Drosophila melanogaster: one gene and its partners. Changing the gene in region 1 together with any one later gene gives a genetic interaction. Each region holds a gene or a part of one and is shown on either strand. Other genes may lie near its edges.

Region 1 (3,753 bases):
ACAAATGGATTGTTACATGAATACTCGCTTGATGTCCAAACAATTTAGATGGCATATCAAAAGGCATTGCAAAAAGTGTTGTTTTTTTTAAATTATTTATATTTTGAATACCTTTTAAATACTCTTTCTCGAACTAATCGTGACTTTCAATTACCAGCACAACTGTATATAAGTTTTTAACAAACTGGTGTATAGTTTTTCGAGCAACTGTAGCCACGCGCCTTATATAAATACATACGTACGTATATAGAAAATAATTCTATTTGAGGGAGATAATTCTAAGAAAATGCATATAGTACTTGCAATAAATATACGATAAAAAATGGGGTTCGGCAGATTTCGCTATTGCTCACCAAGTGGGAATTCAGAGGGCAGGCACCTCATCGCAGATGCAGTGGTCAGCATGGTCATGGCGATGCAGATCGAATGAATACACACACAAGTTACTTTACAACTAACTAAACCGGTATGCACATGCAAATGCTAGCGTATGTAAATAAATTAATATTTCTTTATTCAGGCTGATCGAGTCGGGAGCATCGGCGGTGGCTAAATGGGTCAATGTCGTCGGCGAGTTACTGAACTTTGTCTGAAATTCTCGAGCGACGAGTGCGAAAGGGGGGAATGCATGCAACAGTAATGAGCAAAAGGCAATGCAAAAAACACGGACAGACAGTGATGCCTCGTAAATAAGGGCTGAGCGTAGCTACATAGTGATAGTGATGGTGATCTGGCTAAGATATTTTTATGGTCCCTAGCGCTACACACTCAGAAATGCACTCTTAAAAAGAAAAGCACTCTATATGTATATATATATACAAATGTATATATGAGATCCAATTACTCACCTTGTTTGAATTGAAAATCGGCTAATCCACAAATAGTTGGCTGGTACAGTGGAAATCCTTCGGAACTCCCGTTCGACTCCGATATATGTACCTAGTGAGCTTGGGTCGCGTTTGAAGACTGAAAATACAAAGCTGCTTGTCAAATCGTTTTATAGCCGCCCCTTTTATGCACTGCGTGCATTGCACATATGTATTGTACGACAAAGTTATAGTTATCAAGATATATACATAGGTCGGTCGGAATAGTCGGGCACTCGTAAGGCCAGCGCGACTTAATAGGTCATTATAAGCGACCGATTCGAGTTAAGAGCTCTAAAGATCACGTCGCGAATCGCCGCATGGGATCTTCTTTTTTTTTTTTGGCTTGTTTTGCATAAGTTCACCTGAAAATGGTTCACTGAGCTCAGCATTAATTTTATGTTATTTCCATTGTTTTTAGTACGTTAAAGTGCCAAGACAAGTGCGGTATTTCTCACGGTGCAGCGCACTCAATCGATTTTCCACAGCAATTAACATTATTAAATATAATGTTGCAGAAGGTACACTGAAAGTAAGTGAGTACTACAAAATTCAAGAACTTTCTTCACTTTGTGTGCACTTTTAGAAATGTTCTTGACTTAAAACAATATAGTTATTATTATTATTATTGAAAAAATCCGTACTTTCTATCAGGAAATCCACTTTGCTATATTTTGTAACTATATACACTTTGTAACTTGTACTGTTTAGCACTTTCGAGAAATTCTCATCTGCCACTTGCGAAAAGTCCACTTCCTATATTTGTTCTAGAATGTAAACGAAGGAATATTTTCATTTCTCGTCGCAAAATACGAAATTTTTAAGTTAGCTATATAGCATCGGGGCACTTTCGCAATCGCGGCACAGCTTTATATATGTATATATATTTATATTAAGTGCGTGTTCTGAGCGTTTCGCACAGTGTATCGTGGTTAATCTTCTGATGGTTACGCGACTTGGATGCAATTAGACTTGAACTTTTGAACGCTCCGTACACGAGTAGTTTAAAGACTAATCGCCTTCGCCACTGTGACTGAGTGAAAAACGAGTTTGTAATCCCTCTTACGGATCGTAAGTGTGTAAGTTATTGCTTTGGCTATCACTCCTCCCGTTCGACACAACAGTAACTTTCTGCTTTTCTGCCGGACACTAGCTAATGTACCTTCTTTCGACTGGCGTGTCCGCGTTCCACGATCAAGTGATCAACTGACTGACGGGGGCTGTGGGTAATTCGAGCTCATTTGCTTTTAGTTTCAAGCACGAGCAATTAATTAAGTATTTCACTGCTCGCCGTTTCCAAATGTATTTCCATGCCATTTCTTGCGCTTGCCTGAGCCCATTCTGCGTGTCGGACCGCCATTCCGCCATTTAGCCATTCGGTCATTCCGTCCTCCAGTCAGACGATCACCTTCGAGCACGGAGCTACGTCAGCCTTTAAAGTCCGGCGGAATTTCGTTGGGCAGCCAAGTGCAATTAGCTAAGTCGAAGTACAGAACGCTGAAAGTTAAAAGTAACCCACTGATGGCATTAATCAATTTACGAACACGCAATCCCAGCGACAGCTGTTGATACGCACAGCGCGCTTCACATGGACATACAGACAGACAGACGGACAGACACTCCATTATCTATTAGGTATTTACATGCATTTAATTTGAATGTCAAATTCAGATTTATGGCCTAGCCTATGAGAGTTACAAACAATGAGAGTCGATTACATATGAATTTACACCTATTTCTAGTTCTACGTATGCATATCGATTCAATTCATCCATTCATTCCGTTGTATTGTCGAGTATAAAACGTACATTTGACTAATCATATAGAGATATTGTGCAGACAATTGTTGCTAGATATTGCTTACGATGAACTACAAAAGCGTTCTCGCCTGTTTTATACGTTTAAAGCTTAGACTACGTACAAAAGGTTTGGGTTAGTAATATGTCAACGATATTCAATGCTAAAGTCTTAGGTAGCGCTTAAGTGTACGGATGAGTTACTCTTAAGTACAGATCAAATCTATGCGAAGGAGAATTACGTATTTACAATACAATTGTCGGAGACTCCTGGTTAGATCACTGGAGTCGGCCGAATCCTCGCTCTGCGACTCCGTCGCCTCCTCTGCAATCATTTGGGCCGAATCTTCTCGTACATGAATTTCTGCACGTGCTTGTTGTCCGGCTGCATGAGCTTCTTCTTGTTGAACTCGAATTGGGCCAGCGCGAAATCGTACAGATCGTTTTCCATTTGCCAGATTTTTGTCTTTTGAATGGATTTAATTGTCGATTCGCTGGGCGGAAGCTTGGAAGATGTCACCCGCAGATGAGATTTGTTTGAATTATGATAGTGCTCACGAAAGCCGTGAAAAATTCTGCAAAAGAAAAAAAAAGAACAGGTCAATGAAGCAACTGGAGTATTCTAAAACAGACAATAACATATGGTTGGGAGGCACACCTTGGAAGGGATCTCTCGAGCAGATCCACAAACTCGTACATCTGCTCTGTGACTCCGACTAGGAAGTATTCGTTGACTAGATTGCGCTTGGCCTGGTCCAAGGCCCAACTGCTGCCGGGTTCCCAGCACTCGGCTGCATGGCCACAGAAGAAGGGTATCTGCAGCCACATGTTTTTGGGATCACAGTCGGGTTGTTTCTGCACCACGCACTCATCGAAGGTCTGCAAAGATGTGTGAGGGCTTTGGTTACAGGGAGGTTAATACCTTGATGCTCTACCTACAATTTTATTGCCCGCCTTCTTGCGGACTAAATTCGGTCGGTAGTTGTCGCCAAAGCGTAGAAAGTAATAGTAGGAGACAAGTCTGTCGAGCGGTTTGCGCACCAAATTGATGTAGATGGGCTTGTGGGCGATTTGGAATCTGCAAAGGAGTA
Region 2 (3,753 bases), 7.5 Mb from region 1:
TTTGTTAAAAGGACCTTTTTATTTAGAATTCGTTTTGTTAAAATTACCTTTTTGAATGACTAAACTTACACCGCCTACTCTTCTTCTTATTTTTTGTTTTGCCATTCACCACGAACTTAATAACAACTTAACACGCGGAGATCTCCACATAAACAATGGAAATTAAAGTACGTAAACAAATTATTTGCGACCTAAAACTTATTTCATTTTGATCCCCGTAGAAGTCCAAGAAATCAAAGAACGACAAGAAGTCCAAGGCGCCCAAGGAGTCGTCCGTTTCGCTCAAACTGAACGCTTTGCATCGCAAGCAAAAGGAAGTCGCCCGCGTGCTCACTTTAAAACAAGAAATATTACTGAAATCGGGTGTATCCTATCTGGAATATTATGAGATTCTGGCAGAAATCGAACGACTCAACGGCCTAAAGGAGTCATTTATGCGCCGCGCTGATAAGCTGAAGCAACAGGACAAATAGTTGATAAGTTGGTTTGGTTTAGAAACTATATAAGAGTAAAGAAATCTGTAGCAGTTATATTTCGGAATGTTTTGTACATACATACATGTAATCTTTTTTGTAATTAACTTTTATTTACTTAAAAGCTTTCAATAACATGATGAATAAAGTAGAAAGTTATATATATAGTCAAAGCTGATCATAACTAAATGCACGTTGAAAATTAGTCAACTCAATCGAAGTGATAAAGATTTCATACGGATTATACTGTTAGGTATACATTTTGATTACTTTTGTTTTGCTTAATTAATTTGGCACTCCTTTGTGTGTGAAGATCAAGCTGCCTTAAAAAGTTTTAGTTTAATTGAAGGCACTTAGAAAATAAGAACTATAATTATTTGGCATACTGAGGAACTGTTTGGTAGTCATACATTAAATCAATTGATTTCTACTTGAGCTGGATTTGGCTCCCCTCGGTCTTCGCAAAAGCCCGCCACATTCGTTGGAATTCCGCCTGAAACGTGGCTGTGAGTTTGTCGTCAGCTGTGATAATGCAGTTCTCCCAATTGCCTCCCAGTCCAAGAGCCGTCCAGTTTACGGAGCCGCTGATCACGATGCTATAGCACGGACGCATAAACTTGAGCTTCCTCAGCAGACGAATCTCCTCGACGCGCTCGAAGCCGTCGATTATGCAGAATTTGTTGTGCATCAAGTTCGTGGTAATGGGGACGCGAACTGGAACTCCCAATTGTGCCAGCATACTGATCTGAGAACCTTTGGAGTAGACCATCTCCCCGTCGCTGATGATCCGGATAATCACGCCGCGCTGCAGGGCCCGCTTTATTGAATCCGCCAAAAAAAGCGAGGTGAAGGTGTATATGGCCAGGTCAATGGAGTATACAGCCCGATCGATCTGCTCTACGATCTTGGCCACATTCCGCAGCGAACAATGCGTGTTGCAGCAGGGCGACACTTGTGGTTTCTGGGATCCCATGCTGCTGTTGCGCATATGCACCGCCGCACAGATCTCGCCCAGTTCATTGAAGATGATCACTTCGTGCACGCGGCTTGCCTTCTCTCGCTTGCTGCGCGAGCACTGCACCAGCTTCCAAATCACCTCTGAGGCCAGGACAGTGCTGACGGCAATGCTTATTGTGGACACAATGGGATAGTCTCGAATTTGTTTCATAATTATTTGGGTAATCAACATTTTTGAATTTAGCTCGTTTCTCTAGCGCGCTTTAAATAATAATCTTGGGGTGACCATTATAAAATATAAGTAAAATATATTATCGTTAGTAGCTACCGGTCACACTGTTGCTCAGTAGCGTTGCCGTATCGCAGCCATGCGCTTGCCCATTCGAATCAAACAATCAATTTCGGGTCAATTTAAGCATTTTACCACCTAAATGGATGATCCATCCGCCACGCTCTTGCCCGAACACTCGGAAGATTTGCGGCTGGCTCGCGATGCGGAGCTGAAGAAGGTGCTCAAGCTGAAGCTAGTGCTGGACGAGCTAAGACGCCTGGATGTGGGCCCAAATCCGAGTGATGAAATCAAAAGAGCCCTCAAATTGGTTTCCATTGGAAGTTATGCGCGACTCGGCGAGATGGAGGGAGCTGGTCAGGAGCAGGTGCTTGGTAGGCGCGTTACAAGTTTATTCCAAAAGCAGTGAATAACCATTGGAAATCTAACAGGTCTACCGAGCGGCAGCAGTTTTCCGCCCTTGAATTACACGGATCGCAAGACGGTGCGTACCAAATTGTCCGCTCAATTACGCACAACTCTGCAACCCATTGCCGAATTGTGCGACAGGATACGCGAGGAGTTCCCGGACGCCTTTGGCCAGGAGGCGGACTTAAGCTGCGACCAAAAGGAGATTCTGCGCCTGGAGGAGGAGCATCGCAGCGGTCTGGAGAAATTGGTTGCGCTTCTCACTCGTAAGTGCACGCTTCTCAAGGAGACCGCCGAATTGAAATTGGGGCCGCAGTTGGCAAACGAACTAAAATTGCAACAGGCGCAGGCGCAACTTGTTCAAACAAAAGCAGAACTACTGCGCGGATTTTTCGTCCACGAGGCCGCCTCTCGCACCGAACATAGCGTCAAGGCACATAAGGAGGTGGAGGCGCACCTGGACGAGCTGCTCGCCGCCAAGAAGTAGATTTAAGCAAACTAGTATTATGTAAATTAGATTTTTAAATACATTATAATTGTGATTTAAACAGGGTTGTTCGTTTAGGTCTTTTCGCTCTAGAATGGCAACACTGTTTTGCACTGCAGTATTTGCAGACGGTCACTCTAGGGATAAACAATTTGTAAACAAAAGAAGCTTTTAAGTTTGCCGGAATAAAACAGATATGACCGAAACGAATCCCAGTGAAATATCTCCTCCGAGCGAAGAGCCACCGGCAGAGGACGAATCCACTGACCACTCTCCAGCGGAGGCAGTGCTGAGCAATAATTCCTCGAGTGTCTGCAATGTTGTGGAGCCGGATGATGAGCACGAAGTTAATTCCGTGGATCGGGAGGACACCGCCAGTTTGTTCAGCACTACTACGACCACCACCAGAAGCAAATCGCCAAATACACGAAAATTGAACCGCCTGTGTCGGCGGATCAAGGCACCCAAAATGGTTCAGCCCTTGTACAAATATAGGTGTGATTTTTCCAGGCAGAACATAAGTCATAATGTTTATATCCCGGATGCATTGCAGCTCCCATGTCCGCGAGGACCACAACCATCAGATCTTCGGAGTGCAGTTCAATCCGTTCCTGGACAGAGGCCAGCCGCAGGTGTTCGCCACCGTTGGCAAGGATCGGGTTTCCATTTATGAGTGCGAGAGGAGCACCGGACAGGAGTCCTGCGAAGGCATTCGACTGCTGCAAGTCTACGCAGACCCAGATGTAAGTACTCATCATATGCTATTACTTACATACATCATCGTTACGCCCTCGTTAGACCGATGAAAGTTTCTACACATGCGCTTGGTCCTACGACTCTGTGACCGGCGATCCTGTGCTTGCCGCGGCTGGTTACCGCGGCGTCATTCGCATATTCAATCCGGTTAAGCACCAGTGCAGCAAAAACTACATTGGTCACGGGCACGCCATTAACGAGCTGAAGTTTCATCCGACTAGACCGCAGTTACTTCTGTCCGGCAGCAAGGATCACTCCCTGCGCCTTTGGAACATTCAGTCGGACGTGTGTGTGGCGGTTTTCGGCGGCGTAGAAGGACACCGCGACGAAGTGTTGTCTGTGGACTTTGATTTGCGCGGTGATCGCATCATGTCCAGTGGAAT
Region 3 (3,753 bases), on another chromosome or scaffold:
CAGCAAAAAGTATCTGAGAGAGACGTGCAGCGGTAGGTAGACTCTTATGTCACAGATATGAAATGGTTGGCTAAGGTTACCTTACTTCCGTGTAATTATCAGCCAACTCCAGTCCGAAATTGTTTCCCGGCCACAGTGCCCTGCGCCTGGATAATCTCAGCCTAGCCGAGCAGCAGGAGCTTAAGGGAGCCGCCTGGTTTCAAGCGGGCATTCCCAGGGAAATATCCCTGGAGGCCCTGTCCCGACAGAGTCCAGGTGCGTTTCTAGTGCGCCAGAGCAGCACAAAGCCGGGATGTTTCGCCCTCTCGCTGCGAGTGCCACCACCTTCACCACGAGTGGCCCACTATCTGATCCTGCGGACGCAAAGGGGCTACAAGATAAAGGTAAGTCCGAGCACATTATATATAATATTTATTATATATTATGATGGTATTTACCATTTTAGGGCTTCACCAAGGAGTTCAGTTCGCTGAAGGCGCTGATCACGCACCACTCGGTGATGCCGGAACTGTTGCCCGTGCCGCTGACCCTGCCACGCCCACCTAGTACCCGATCGCAACGATCGCAGGGCGCCTACGCAGGCGGAACCGGAAACGGGGGAGCGGACTTCGAGATGTATGGCTCGCTGAACGACTTTCGCAAAATGATGGCCGATTTGAATGTGTGACCGCTGGGCGCTCTTAATTAATTAAGTAATTATGTCACGTTGATTGAATTAAGCTGCCCAGCTTGTCACATTGTCCTGCGTCCTGTGTCCTCTGTCGCGACAGGATAACAATCTGTTTAATTTGCGTAATTGGCTGTGCTGACGACGGTTGACGTGGCTACCAATAAATAGGGTCCATGTCCATGTGTACTCGGGCCGGCAAAGGCCCACCTGTCCGACAGGTGCTGCAAAAAGTGCACAAACATTTTTTATTAAAATTGATAATAAAATCAGCTACGTGGGCGGCTGCGATGGCTGTGGTTTCGCAGGGGCGTGTTTGCATACACAAATATAGGGAATACGCTCAAATCATTTTTGCGAAACTGATTAAAAAATGGCAAAAACATGCAATATGTATACGCAAACAGACATCAAGTGATTATTATTTTTCGCGTTTTTATCAATTCTGCTCGTTTTGTACGGCTAGTGCTGAGTGGCAGATGCATCAGACAGACGTACTATACATATCTGAATGGGGGCAGTCGGATTAAATGTTAATGTTTGGGTAGGGAAATCGAGGGTCGGCTGCCGGGATTTGGAGTGCGGATGCGGAATGGGCAAAGTGGATTCTTTTTGTATTTGATGCACTCACTTTGCGGTGCAGTGGCTAGATAGACTTATATGGGAAGTAAATGAATAACCAATTATATTGTAACTCTATGTATTTTGTAATAAAGTTAATGGAAAACCTTTTCAAATAGTATTGTTTATTTTCTGATCTATAGCATGCAATATACATACAATCACGTTGAAAATGAAGCATTGGCTTAAAGGTAGAACATTTTATAATATTTAACAACAAATTTGTTTTGAAATAATGTGAGTGGGTAAGGAAAGTTTAAATTTCCCGCACATTATCGATAGCTCTTTCGATAGAATCGGTCGGCAATCGGCTCGCAAACTCGCTAGAGAACTGTTAACCAACTGTCATAGTTTGAGTTCACGCTACGCTCCATTCTAAAAGTTATCAATATCTCGAAATAAATAAACTGTGGGTTATAGCAGGCTTTGTTTTATTATTTGCAATTAGGAACAGTGCAAAGATAACAAAGATGTACTAACAATTGGTCAATAGGCGCAGAAGCGACCCTGAAATTGGAGTGTGACCTCGCTAATAGCCAGATGCGGCGGGGAATTCGCCAAGCCCGCAACACTGTACCCTGAAGGCCAGCTGCCGCCGCTTCCCGCGCATTTTCTTCGACCCAGGTAGGTCGCATTGGGATTCGCTTGCATTTGGTGTTTTCACTCGCCTCCAAACCGCCGTAGCAACACCATCTAGACAACGTGGAACTCCCGCTGAACCAGAGACCGGCATTATTTCCATTGTGAGTGTGAGCAGAACTAAGCTGCATCACCGGCGTCCCTAACCTTATATATATTTCTTACACACACACACAAACGCACTATTTCCAGTTTCGGTGACAAAAAATTGTGAAAATACAAGCTAAAATGCCGCGCAGAAAGGCCCTGACTAATAACAACAATGCCGGCGAAGCGGAGCAGCAGCCACCGAAGGCGAAGCGCGCCAGAATCGCTTTTCATCTGGAGCTGCCCAAGCGGAGGACCGTGCTCGGCAACGTGCTAGTCTGCGGCAACGGCGATGTGGGCCAACTTGGTCTCGGCGAGGACATACTGGAGCGCAAGCGTCTCAGCCCTGTGGCGGGCATCCCGGATGCCGTGGACATATCCGCCGGTGGCATGCACAACCTGGTGCTGACCAAGTCAGGGGACATTTACTCATTCGGTTGCAATGACGAAGGTGCTCTAGGCCGTGACACCAGCGAGGATGGCAGCGAGTCAAAGCCGGATCTTATCGATTTGCCCGGCAAGGCTCTGTGCATTTCGGCGGGAGACTCGCATTCCGCTTGTCTGCTGGAGGATGGCCGTGTCTTCGCTTGGGGCTCGTTCCGGGACTCTCATGGCAACATGGGCCTCACCATCGATGGTAACAAGCGTACGCCCATCGATCTGATGGAGGGCACTGTCTGTTGTAGCATCGCGTCCGGCGCCGATCATTTGGTCATCCTGACCACTGCCGGAAAGGTCTTTACCGTGGGCTGCGCTGAGCAGGGACAACTCGGCCGGCTGTCGGAGCGTTCCATCTCCGGAGAGGGTAAGTCTTGGCATTCAAATTTTCAACGAAATTCGTATTAAAAAAATGTTAACCCCCAGGTCGTCGTGGCAAACGCGACTTGCTGCGGCCCACCCAGCTCATCATCACGCGGGCCAAACCTTTTGAGGCCATCTGGGCCACCAACTACTGCACATTCATGCGCGAGTCACAGACACAGGTCATCTGGGCCACAGGGCTTAACAACTTCAAGCAGCTGGCCCACGAGACAAAGGGCAAGGAGTTCGCACTGACGCCCATCAAGACGGAACTCAAAGATATCCGACATATTGCCGGCGGTCAGCACCATACTGTCATCCTGACAACGGACCTTAAGTGTTCCGTAGTGGGTCGTCCGGAGTACGGTCGGCTTGGTCTGGGCGATGTCAAGGATGTTGTGGAGAAGCCAACGATTGTAAAGAAGCTGACCGAAAAGATTGTGTCCGTTGGATGTGGCGAAGTCTGTTCCTATGCCGTTACAATTGATGGCAAACTGTATTCCTGGGGCTCCGGTGTCAACAATCAACTAGGCGTTGGCGACGGCGATGATGAGCTCGAACCGATCGTGGTTGTCAGCAAGAACACGCAGGGGAAGCACATGCTGCTCGCATCTGGCGGTGGTCAGCACGCAATCTTTTTGGTCAAAGCGGACAAACAGGACCAGAAGGAGAATGTTCCAGTGAAGGTGTCTGGCAGCAGCAGCATCAGTAAAAAGGACAAGACCCCGCCGCAGGATAATGTCGACAAGGAAGCCGAGAATGTAGATAAGCAGGAGCAGAAGGAAAACTTGCCGGCGAAGGCGTCAACCAGCAGCAAAAAGAACAAGACGCCGCCGCAGGATAATGCCGACAAGGAAGCCGAGAATGTAGATAAGCAGGAGCAGAAGGAAAACTTGCCGGCGAAGGCGTCAACCAGCAGCAAAAAGATTAAGACGCCG

What was found.
Region 2: of RanGAP (region 1) and zuc, changing one enhances a phenotype caused by changing the other (phenotypic enhancement), as found in Drosophila melanogaster (one study listed by BioGRID).
Region 3: of RanGAP (region 1) and Rcc1, changing one suppresses a phenotype caused by changing the other (phenotypic suppression), as found in Drosophila melanogaster (2 studies listed by BioGRID).

What each region holds. Positions count from the first base shown.
Region 1 is NT_033779.5:19,440,311-19,444,063, forward strand, and holds the start of RanGAP (Ran GTPase activating protein), read left to right. Parts: upstream 1-1,648; 5' UTR 1,649-1,945; intron 1,946-2,028; exon of another isoform or gene 2,029-2,417; intron 2,418-2,522; exon of another isoform or gene 2,523-2,993; coding exon of another isoform or gene 2,994-3,237; intron 3,238-3,320; coding exon of another isoform or gene 3,321-3,541; intron 3,542-3,601; coding exon of another isoform or gene 3,602-3,740; intron 3,741-3,753. Other genes in the region: CG10237 (uncharacterized protein), read right to left, coding at 354-411; Hs2st (heparan sulfate 2-O-sulfotransferase), read right to left, coding at 2,994-3,237, 3,321-3,541, 3,602-3,740. UniProt on the Drosophila melanogaster protein: GTPase activator for the nuclear Ras-related regulatory protein Ran, converting it to the putatively inactive GDP-bound state. Trans-acting factor necessary for meiotic distortion.
Region 2 is NT_033779.5:11,988,163-11,991,915, forward strand, and holds zuc (zucchini), read right to left. Parts: upstream 1,721-3,753; 5' UTR 1,663-1,720; coding exon 901-1,662; 3' UTR 573-900; downstream 1-572. Other genes in the region: CG34163 (uncharacterized protein), read left to right, coding at 156-167, 222-473; dgt2 (dim gamma-tubulin 2), read left to right, coding at 1,862-2,093, 2,151-2,614; escl, read left to right, coding at 2,811-3,109, 3,168-3,357, 3,413-3,753. UniProt on the Drosophila melanogaster protein: Cardiolipin hydrolase present at the mitochondrial outer membrane required for piRNA metabolic process.
Region 3 is NT_037436.4:5,930,684-5,934,436, reverse strand, and holds the start of Rcc1 (regulator of chromosome condensation 1), read left to right. Parts: upstream 1-1,663; 5' UTR 1,664-2,031; intron 2,032-2,119; 5' UTR 2,120-2,155; coding exon 2,156-2,819; intron 2,820-2,878; coding exon 2,879-3,753. Other genes in the region: Egfrap (EGFR adaptor protein), read left to right, coding at 1-32, 103-383, 446-667. UniProt on the Drosophila melanogaster protein: Promotes the exchange of Ran-bound GDP by GTP. Involved in the regulation of onset of chromosome condensation in the S phase. Binds to chromatin.